Mus musculus: one gene and its partner. The protein of the gene in region 1 purifies or fractionates together with the protein of each later gene. This does not show direct contact. Links are inferred from orthologs where the notes say so. Each region holds a gene or a part of one and is shown on either strand. Other genes may lie near its edges.

What was found.
Region 2: the proteins of Fbxw11 (region 1) and Ogt purify together in Homo sapiens (affinity purification with mass spectrometry; 3 studies listed by BioGRID and IntAct, with this or other methods). This does not show direct contact. The link is inferred for Mus musculus from reciprocal best matches to the Homo sapiens genes FBXW11 and OGT.

Annotation. Positions count from the first base shown.
Region 1 is NC_000077.6:32,739,030-32,743,906, reverse strand, and holds part of Fbxw11 (F-box/WD repeat-containing protein 11), read right to left. Parts: intron 4,752-4,877; coding exon 4,641-4,751; intron 3,721-4,640; coding exon 3,642-3,720; intron 1,449-3,641; coding exon 1,287-1,448; 3' UTR 1,263-1,286; intron 1-1,262.
Region 2 is NC_000086.7:101,663,471-101,668,347, forward strand, and holds part of Ogt (UDP-N-acetylglucosamine--peptide N-acetylglucosaminyltransferase 110 kDa subunit), read left to right. Parts: coding exon 1-84; intron 85-372; coding exon 373-513; intron 514-1,173; coding exon 1,174-1,274; intron 1,275-3,807; coding exon 3,808-3,961; intron 3,962-4,045; coding exon 4,046-4,147; intron 4,148-4,509; coding exon 4,510-4,689; intron 4,690-4,877. UniProt on the Homo sapiens protein: Catalyzes the transfer of a single N-acetylglucosamine from UDP-GlcNAc to a serine or threonine residue in cytoplasmic and nuclear proteins resulting in their modification with a beta-linked N-acetylglucosamine (O-GlcNAc).

The DNA of each region.
Region 1 (4,877 bases):
TTTATGGAGGTTGGAATTTTAATATCACAGAGTTTTTATATGGCATGAATTTTTAAAATATTTTTCAAGTGTTTAAAGTGTAAGATCTACTTTTGGCCTGCACTGGCAGAAAAACAAAGCATACAGTGGGTCAAATTCAATGCTTGGCTACAGTGTGTTAAGCCCGAGCAAGGTAAACTTCTTGAGAGTCATTTATGGGACTCAGAATCTAGACTAAAAAATATCTGAAACAGATTAAAGGGGTGTGCCAGCACCACCTAGCTTACTCTTTAGTAAGCTAGAAAGTACATAATAAAAAGCTATAAAGAATTAAGCAATGCTTTTTTTTTTTGAGACAGGGTTTCTCTGTGTAGCCCTGGCTGTCCTGGAACTCTCCTTGTAGACTAGGCTGGCCTCGAACTCAGAAATCCACCTGCCTCTGCCTCCTGAGTGCTGGGATTAAAGGCATGCGCACCACACCCGGCTAAGCAATGCTTTTTAACTAAGAGAATTTAATCACAAATCTTTAAACAGTCACAGAAGTAAGGGTATTTATGAAGTGGACAAAGCGGGATGTGCGCAGAATCTAATGGATCCCGGCAAATCTTCCAGGTAGGAATATTGTTCCCAGTAGTCATGGATATCTGGGATTGGGCAAATCGGGCTTCTCTCTTTCTATCTAAAACAGCATCTTGGTGAGCAAAACAATCTGTCACCAACAGTATGACAGCGGCTCTGTAACTAGAGCGGAGGATTTGCATTCTGAAGCACCTGTCACGCCTCACCATGAAGAATGCACAGCATAATTAAGTGATAGCTCCTTGTGGAGATGGTAAAGCAGAGTGGACTTGGTGATGGGAAGAGGAATTTTGGATGGTCCTGTGTGCGCGCATGCATGGGCATGACTACACCCATCTGCCTGTCTGTCTGTCAGCCACAGAACTGAAAGACCAGGTAAAAAGGTTGATTTCTGCAATCCAAAAATCAAACCTGAAAAACTATCCTGGTGTTAAATGGCTATGATCATGAAGGAACTCATTTAGGTAACCAGTTTTTTAAAAACAGCAACCACAGACATCACTACCTGTCAATGACGACGAGAGAGCCCACGATGTGCAGGGCTCTGTTGGGAGCCTATTGAGACCTTACCTGCTAGTCTGGTAGATGCTTTCATTCACATCACTAAGGAACCTCAGTTTCCTAATTCCCAGAGGGAAGGCAAAGTCCAGAAGTGAGCGAGGTCTTGAAGAGCCCAGGCAGGGCTGGAGTTTGAGCACACTCACCAGATTGGGCCAAAGTGCAGGCTGCTATCTGGAGATATAGGTGTAGGTTCTGGAGGGAGAGCGGGTCTCATTCTGGGCACTGGGAGGCACATTTAAGAAATCCCAAATCAAAATAGTGTCATCATGGGAGCTGCTGATGATCTGAAACTCATCAAACTGCAGCCGAAACACACGTCCAGAGTGTTCCTATGGAAAAGCGGCTTGGTTAACATGTAGGAAGGATGGCTTTACAGCCCCTATCACCAGAGCTGGGATTTAGCTCAGGCGGGAAAGTCAGCACTTTTCAATGCCTCCTGCGTGGTCCCCCCTCCCCCCTCCCCCACCCACACACACACACTGAGCCGCATCCTTTCCCTGAGAACAAATGTTCTGCTTTCTAGAATATACGCCTCTAGGTTTTTCTTTTTCTTTTTCCTTTAAAAAAAAAAAAGATTTATTTATTTATTTTATGTATATGAATACACTGTAGCTATCTGCAGACACACCAGAAGAGGGCAACAGATCCCATTACAGATGGTTGTGAGCCACCATGTGGGTGCTGGGAATTGAACTCAGGACCTCTGGAAGAGCAGTCAGTGCTTTTAACTGTTGAGCCATCTCTCCAGCCCCTAGGTTTTTCTTTTTTAAATTAAACATTATGTCCTACATTATAGCCTAGTAATGTGAAGAAAAACAGAGGCTGTCAGAGTAATACCCATTCAGGATATACTGTAAAACTAGACTCAGAAGGGCAAAGTTGCTATAAACTTTTTTTTTAAGATTTATTTATTTTATGTATATGAACACACTGTAGCTGTCTTCAGACACACCAGAAGAGGGCATCAGATCCCATTACAGATGGTTGAGAGCCACCATGTGGTTGCTGGGAATTGAACTCAGGACCTCTGGAAGAGCAGCTGATGCTCCAAACTGCTGAGCCATCTCTCCAGCTCCCTATAAAATTCTTTAAAAAGATGACCAAGAACATCTGTATTAAGTCATAGCAGTCATCAAAATTCATGGTGAAAGTAAGAGTGGCTCTTACAGTGCTGCCTGCTGTAGTCAATGCAGATACAACTCCTGGGCCTAGAGAGCATGCTCAGTAGTTAACAGTACTTGTCGGTCTTACAGAAGGACCCAGGCTCAATTCCCAGCACCCACTTGGCGGCTCACAACCATCTTAGTTCCAGTGGATCCAACAGATTCACACAAGGTGAACACATACCTACGTAGGCAAATTGTTCATACAAATTTATTTATTTGAGAGAGGATTTATCTGTGAAGATTAGAGGTGTGTGTCACCAGCATGGCCCTAAAGATAATTTTCTAAAAAGAAACAAAATTGCTGAAAAATTTCAAGAAAAGCCTATCACTATTTTCAGATGTCTCTCAAAGGAAAACAAAAATTCCAACAGAAGCAGCCTCAATATTAGAAATCAATAGCTTTAGTAATGTTAAAAAAGATCCACATATCCAAATAAAGTATTTACTTGGTCTTAAAGCAAGCAAGACATTCTGCCATGCCACTGACATGGAAAATCAACCACCTGGAGGTCTATCAGAGTCAGTGGATAATAAAGCAGACACGGGCAGACACTGACCCCACAGACTGGCACCTCACAGAAACGAAGCAGAAAGAAGGGTTCAAAAGTGAGAGATGGGGAAGGCTAGATGAGAGAAGGGTGGACAGGTGGACTGAATCCAATGCTCCTCAGAAGGCCCAAAGTCTCACTCACCCAGACTGCAGGACTCCCTGCCAATCATCCACCCCACTATAGAGTGACCAGGAAAATGCATAGTGTTGGGTACTTCAAAATTTGTTAAAAGTATATGTAGCCAAGGTCTTATGGCCTCAAATTCACGATGTAGCCAAGGATGACCTTAGACTCCTAATCCTCCTGCCTCTGTCCCAAGAATTGAGATTAAAAGTCTAAACTACCATACCATACTTGGTTTTTAAAAAAACGGATTTTTAATATTTCTATCAAAGAAATGAAAACTGATATATTCATTAATTTGTTGACAATTTTTCTATAATGTATATTATAGACCAAAGTATCACACTATTCTCTTTGATAATATAGTTACTAATTTAAAATAAATTTTAAAAATTAAAGTGTTTCTATGTGCCAAAGGAGCCCATATAATAGAGACTGGGGGAGGAGGGGAATTAGACCTTAACAATTTACTACTGTGCAGTTATAAGATATAACACAACTGCACACTACAGAACCCCTAAGGCTCCAGGAGAAATGAGCACAATCATGAGGGTGCCTGCTCACCTACACAGGACCCTGCAGCAGTGTAAATGAACTATGTTCTGGCTGGCCAAAAATACCTATACGTCTCTCAAAGTGTGGTACAAGACACACGCTTTCCCCACCCCAACAAATCACATACCACCAAGGTGCGCAGACACAATGTGCTTGCTGGGGCCCGAGGGTCAAGAGCAGCCTGCAAGTCCCAGACTTTAATCTTCCTACAAGGAAAAATGAGACTGGAATTAATAAAAGAGTTAACATTTTCTACACTGTGAACATACCCATGACAAAACAGTTCACTTGAAAGGTCTACAACCAAACCCAACAGGCGACAGGCTGGTGTTTCTAAGTTTTTGAACTTAGACTTTGAGTGTTTGATTTTAGAAAAAGAACCTAACCCCTCTCAGAATCTCTGAACCCTTAAAGGGATATTACTGCTAAGGAGGTGGACAGGCAGAAGACTCAGGAGTACTTAATTCACTTCCTAACTTAATACCTATGTTACAAAATTCAATATTTGGGGGACTAATGAGATGGCTAAGATGCCTTTCTCCAAATGAAGAAATGGCTAGCACACTAATGCCCCACTGACCAAACATATATAAGGCAGACTGGGACTTACAGCTTCCATTAGTCATTGAGAACAAAAGGAGAAAAGAGGAATTTTATTACTGAGTTCATGGGGGAAGGGAGTGTTTCCTGGTTTATTTATAAAAGAATGGAATTCCCTATAGTTTAATCTGTATATGTGCGTATTTGTATGCATTTGTTTGGTTGGGGTGTGTGTGTGTGTGTGTGTGTGTGTGTGTGTGCCGCACACACACATGTCTGAGAACAACTCTTCTGGAGTGAGTTCTCTCTCCTTCACGTGGATTGAACTCAGGTTGCCAGGCTTGTGCAGCAAGCACCTTCCCTAATTTTTGTATTTCTGTTAATGGTTACAACACAAGCGAGTCTTCAAGTGCCTGGCTACAACACGATTGAGGCAGGCTTTACTTCAGCTTCCTGGATCTGAGCATCCTCACCTGACCCACTGCTATGACAGATCTTTCTCATAGAGTTCTGCATTCACATTGCTGTTTAATACACAGCAACTTTGACAAGGCTACAGCCATGCTTGTGCAGATGAAACACATACCCATCATAGGCGCCACTGACAATCCTCTTGTTATCAAAACGGATGCACCGGACCAATTCTTCGTGCCCCTCTAGGACTCTTAAACAGGCACCACATTCAATATCCCATAACCTTGAACAAGAAGCAGTCATCTATGAAACAAATTCTCTCACATGACTCACGCCCTCCTCAATTGTGTACCCCTGTTCTGTGCAGGTAAGTCTGTCTATTCTCCTTGGATCCCATATTCCCATCTCA
Region 2 (4,877 bases), on another chromosome or scaffold:
ACCTACAGGAGAGCTATCGAACTGCAACCCCATTTCCCCGATGCTTACTGCAACCTAGCAAATGCTCTCAAAGAGAAGGGCAGTGTAAGGATTTTGCCTTATTTTTACTTCCTTGTTATGTGGTAGAAAAGAAGAGTCTTCATTCATATTACATACATATTAAGTATTGAGATGTACATATTAAGTACTGAGATGGTTATATTGATTTCCTTTGGAGTGTTGTTTGCTGGGCAGGAGGATACTGGAAAGTGTCTGTTTTCTGGTGTGTTCCCAACCATTAGACTCAATGATGCACCTACTTGAATTACTAGAATAACAGTGGTCTCTTTGATTCTTCTGTGTAGTTTCTGAATGGTTTGTTTCATTTTCCAGGTTGCTGAAGCAGAAGATTGTTATAACACAGCTCTTCGTCTGTGTCCTACTCATGCAGACTCTTTGAATAACCTTGCCAACATCAAACGGGAACAGGGCAACATTGAAGAGGCAGTTCGCCTGTATCGCAAAGCATTAGAAGTATGTTCAGTGCCGTGGCTGGAGGGTTTAGCCTAGCCTGTGTGACAATAGAGGGAAAGCAGTTGTTTGCCTGCCATTCACCTCTGGGTTGATTTTTATTTTATTTTTACTTTTGGTTTTAGTTTTGGATTTTGAGGCAGGGGTTTTCTGTGTAGCCCTGGCTGTCCTCGAACTCAACTGTGTAGGTCAGGCTGGCCTCAAACCCAGAGAGTCCTAAGTGTTGGGGTTAATAAAGGTGTGCCCAACCACTGCTCAGCTGCCATTCACCTCTTTAAGAGGATCATTCATTATTGATGTAAGGTCCTGTGGACATGTAAGACACCCCTATATTGAGCTCATTATGCATAGGTGAGATCTGCACAAAGATTGACCAGTAAGCTAAGTAAAGCTAGTGCAGTGAAGAACTCAGGCCTGTGTCTAGTGGTTAGTAGGTGTGGAGGTTGATAAAAGTGGCATTACTCAGCATGAGTAACAGGAAGAGAGGCATACCTCTCGTTTGAAATGAAGATTGGTATAAAATGGAGAAGCTGTAGAATTTGAGCTACTAGACTTAGAAAAGGCGGAGAGAAGTTGGGATACATGGGGACGTACTCAGGGCTGTGGGAGGTAAAGGAAGATTCTTTCTGCTATTTAATGTCCGCTGTGATCGGAACTCTGTAGGTCTTCCCAGAGTTTGCTGCTGCACATTCCAATTTAGCAAGTGTACTGCAACAGCAGGGCAAGCTGCAGGAAGCACTGATGCACTATAAAGAAGCCATACGGTAAGAAACTCAGAGCTGCTTTCTTTCTATTTTCATTTTTGAGATTATAATTATATCATTTTCTCTTTCCTGCCTCTCCAAAACCCTCCCATAAACCATACCTCCTTGCTCTCAAATCCATGGCCACCTTTTTCATGAATTGTTGTAACGCACATATATGTATATGTATTTATATGCATATATATTTCTAAATATAACTTGTACAACCTGCATAATGTTACTTGTGTGTATGTTTTTAGGGTTGACCATTTGGTGTCGGATAACCAATTGGTGTGCTCTTCCCTACAGAAGACTCTCACAGACTCTCTACAGAAGACTCTCTCAATCTCTTAGTATCACTTAGATTGCCTGTATATCTTTGCATAGGATTGACGCCTATCCCCCCACCCACCCAAATCCAGTTCAGCATCTTTTTGTTCTTTCTCTTTTTGACAAGATTTCTCTAAGTAGCCCTGACTGTCCTGGAACTTACTCTGTAAGACCAGGTTGACCTGGAACTCAGATCCACCTGCCTCTGCCTCCTCTGCCTCCTCTGCCTCTCAAAATTCAGGGATTAAAGTTGTGTGCCACCACTACCTGGCATCTATTTTTGTTAAGGCTTGGCATAGTGCTATATACTTTAATCCCAGCACTCAGGAGCTTATGTAGTTCGATCTCTGTGAATTTAAGGCCAGCCTAATCTACGTAGCAAGAGCTAGGCCAGCCAGGGCTACATGGTAAGACACCGTGTAAAACAAAAATTTGGGCCTGGAGAGATGACTCAGGGATTAAGAATACTGTCTGCTCTTTGAGAGTATCTAGGTTCAATTCCTGGTACCCATGTGGTAGCTCACAACCATCTATAAATCTAACCTAGGAAATCCTGCCTTTCAAGGGCACCAGGCATATCATGTTACACAGCCATACATGTGGGCAAAACATCCACACACATAAAATAATAAAAATAATTTAAAAAAATTAACTATTTTAAACTTTCTTTTTTTTGGTTTTTCGAGACAGGGTTTCTCTATATAGCTCTGGCTGTCCTGGAACTCACTTTGTAGACCAGGCTGGCTTCGAACTCAGAAATCCGCCTGCCTCTGCCTCCCGAGTGCTGGGAATAAAGGTGTGCGCCACCACGCCGGGCTATTTTAAACTTTTTAAGAGCCAGGGTTTCATTATGTAGCCCTGGCTGTTCTGGAACTTACTATGTAGATCAGGCTGGCCTTTAAACTTACTGAAATTTACCTACCTCTGCCCCCCATGTCCTGGGTTTAAAGGCCTGTACTGCCATACTCGGCTTCCTTATTTTAAACCTAAAAATCATTAAAAATTATTCATCTGTATATGGGTATATGTTGTGCATGTAGGTCCCTACTGAGGCCAGAAGAGGGAGGGAAGGTGTTAGACCTCCTGGGGTTGGAGTAAGGCAGTTGTGAGCTGCCCCATGTGGATGCTGGGAACCAAACCCAGGTCCTCTGGAAGAGCAGCCAGTGCTCCTAGCTGCTGAGCCACTCTCTCAGCCCCTTGTTTTTTGTTTATTCACTTAGTTTTCTTTTTTTTTTCCCCTGAGACAGGACTTTTCCCCAACTGTCCTGGATCTCCATGTGGATCAGGCTAGCCTAGAAGTCATGTACTGGGGTTAAAGGGATGTTCTGTTTTAATTTTTTTTCCAGACAGGGTTTCTCTGTATAGCCCTGGCGGTCCTGGAACTCACTCTGTAGACCAGGCTGGCCTCGAACTCAGAAATCCGCCTGCCTCTGCCTCCTGAGTGCTGGGAATAAAGGTGTGCGCCACCACACCTGGCCTGTTTTAATTTTTTAATAATTCTATTTCATTTATTTTGTGGGTGTGAGGAAATGTGGGCTTATACTGTAGTGCCCATGTGGAGGTCAGAGGACAACTTATTGGAGTTGTTTCAGCTTTTCATAGTTTCTGTGGTTGAACTCAGTTATCAAGCTTGATTGTAGCTTCCTTTACCTGCTGAGCCATCTCACTAACCTTTTCAAATTACTCCTTTTTTTTCTTTTTAAAGACAGGGTTCCTGTCTGTATCCCTGGTTTTCCTGAACTTGCACTGTAGAACAGGCTGGCCTCGAACTCAAAGAGATCTGCCTGCCTCTGCTTTCCAAGTACAGGGAACACACCCAGCTTATTATTGTCATATTTTAAAAGATTAATTTACTTTTAATTATGTGTGTATTATATGTGTATAAAATGTGCATAAATTCCCTAAGTGGGTGCTTTATGCCCCTAGAGCTGGACGTTGATGTTGGGAACAGAATTCAGGCTCTGGAAGAGCAATGAGAGTTCCTAATTGCTGAGCCCCAGTTATCATCATTTATTGTTACTATTTAATAATTTATTACCTAATTAAAGGTTTGACATTTGGCAGGTGTTAAAATGATTCTCCTTCCCTCTTTGGTGCTGGGGTTTCAAACTAGGCCTCACGCTTGGTAGGCGAGTATTGTAGCACTAAACCATGTGCCAAAGCCCCCAAGTGCTTTACAACAAGATTTTGCATGAGGTAATCAAACCTTTGTCTTCTCCTTCAGAATTAGTCCTACATTTGCTGATGCTTATTCCAATATGGGAAACACTCTAAAGGAGATGCAGGATGTGCAGGGCGCTTTGCAGTGTTATACTCGTGCCATCCAGATTAATCCTGCCTTTGCTGATGCACACAGCAATCTGGCCTCCATTCACAAGGTACTGTTGTTTATTCAAATATGGGGTACCTTAGCACTGACCTATCATTGTAAGAAACTCCTTACAAGTTCGTTTTCTTTCCAGGATTCAGGGAATATCCCAGAAGCAATAGCTTCTTACCGCACAGCTCTGAAACTTAAGCCTGACTTTCCTGATGCTTATTGTAACTTGGCTCATTGCCTACAGGTAAAGAATAAATGGTCCATTATTTTTCTTTCTGCAACGTCACCATTTTTTAATTGTGTGTCATAATAATCTAGGCCTGTTTAGAGACAAGACAGTGTTTTCATTTTTATTTTTTATTTTATTTTTATTTTTTTGGGGCAACTGGCAGTCATAGGGCAGCTTTTAGGAGTCATTTCTTTTAGCACCTGGGTCCTAGGCATTGGACTCGTTGTCAGGTACGCAAGGTACGCCTTTTCTCAGCGAGCCAGCCGCAAGACCATGCTTGTAGGAGATTGCCTAATACTACTCTAGGAGCTCAAATACTTGTAAAATAAATCTTTGGGTAGGTTTTTTGGGTGATAATTTCTTTTTGCTTCCTCTAGATTGTCTGTGATTGGACAGACTATGATGAGCGGATGAAGAAATTGGTTAGTATTGTAGCTGAGCAGCTAGAGAAGAATAGACTGCCTTCTGTCCATCCTCACCATAGCATGCTGTACCCTCTTTCCCATGGCTTCAGGAAGGCTATTGCAGAGAGGCATGGGAATCTCTGCTTGGATAAGGTGACTCCTGTTTTAATCTTTTTGTTATAAACTAAAATGCAGATAGAGAAAAACATTGTATAAATTAAATGTATGGCTTTACCAGCTAGAAATGAAACTGTCTTAGCTGCCCTTGAAGCTACTCTTCACTGTGGCTTCACTGTGGCCTGACTGCAGCGCAGTTCTTCGTTTCTAATGGTAGTGTTTTC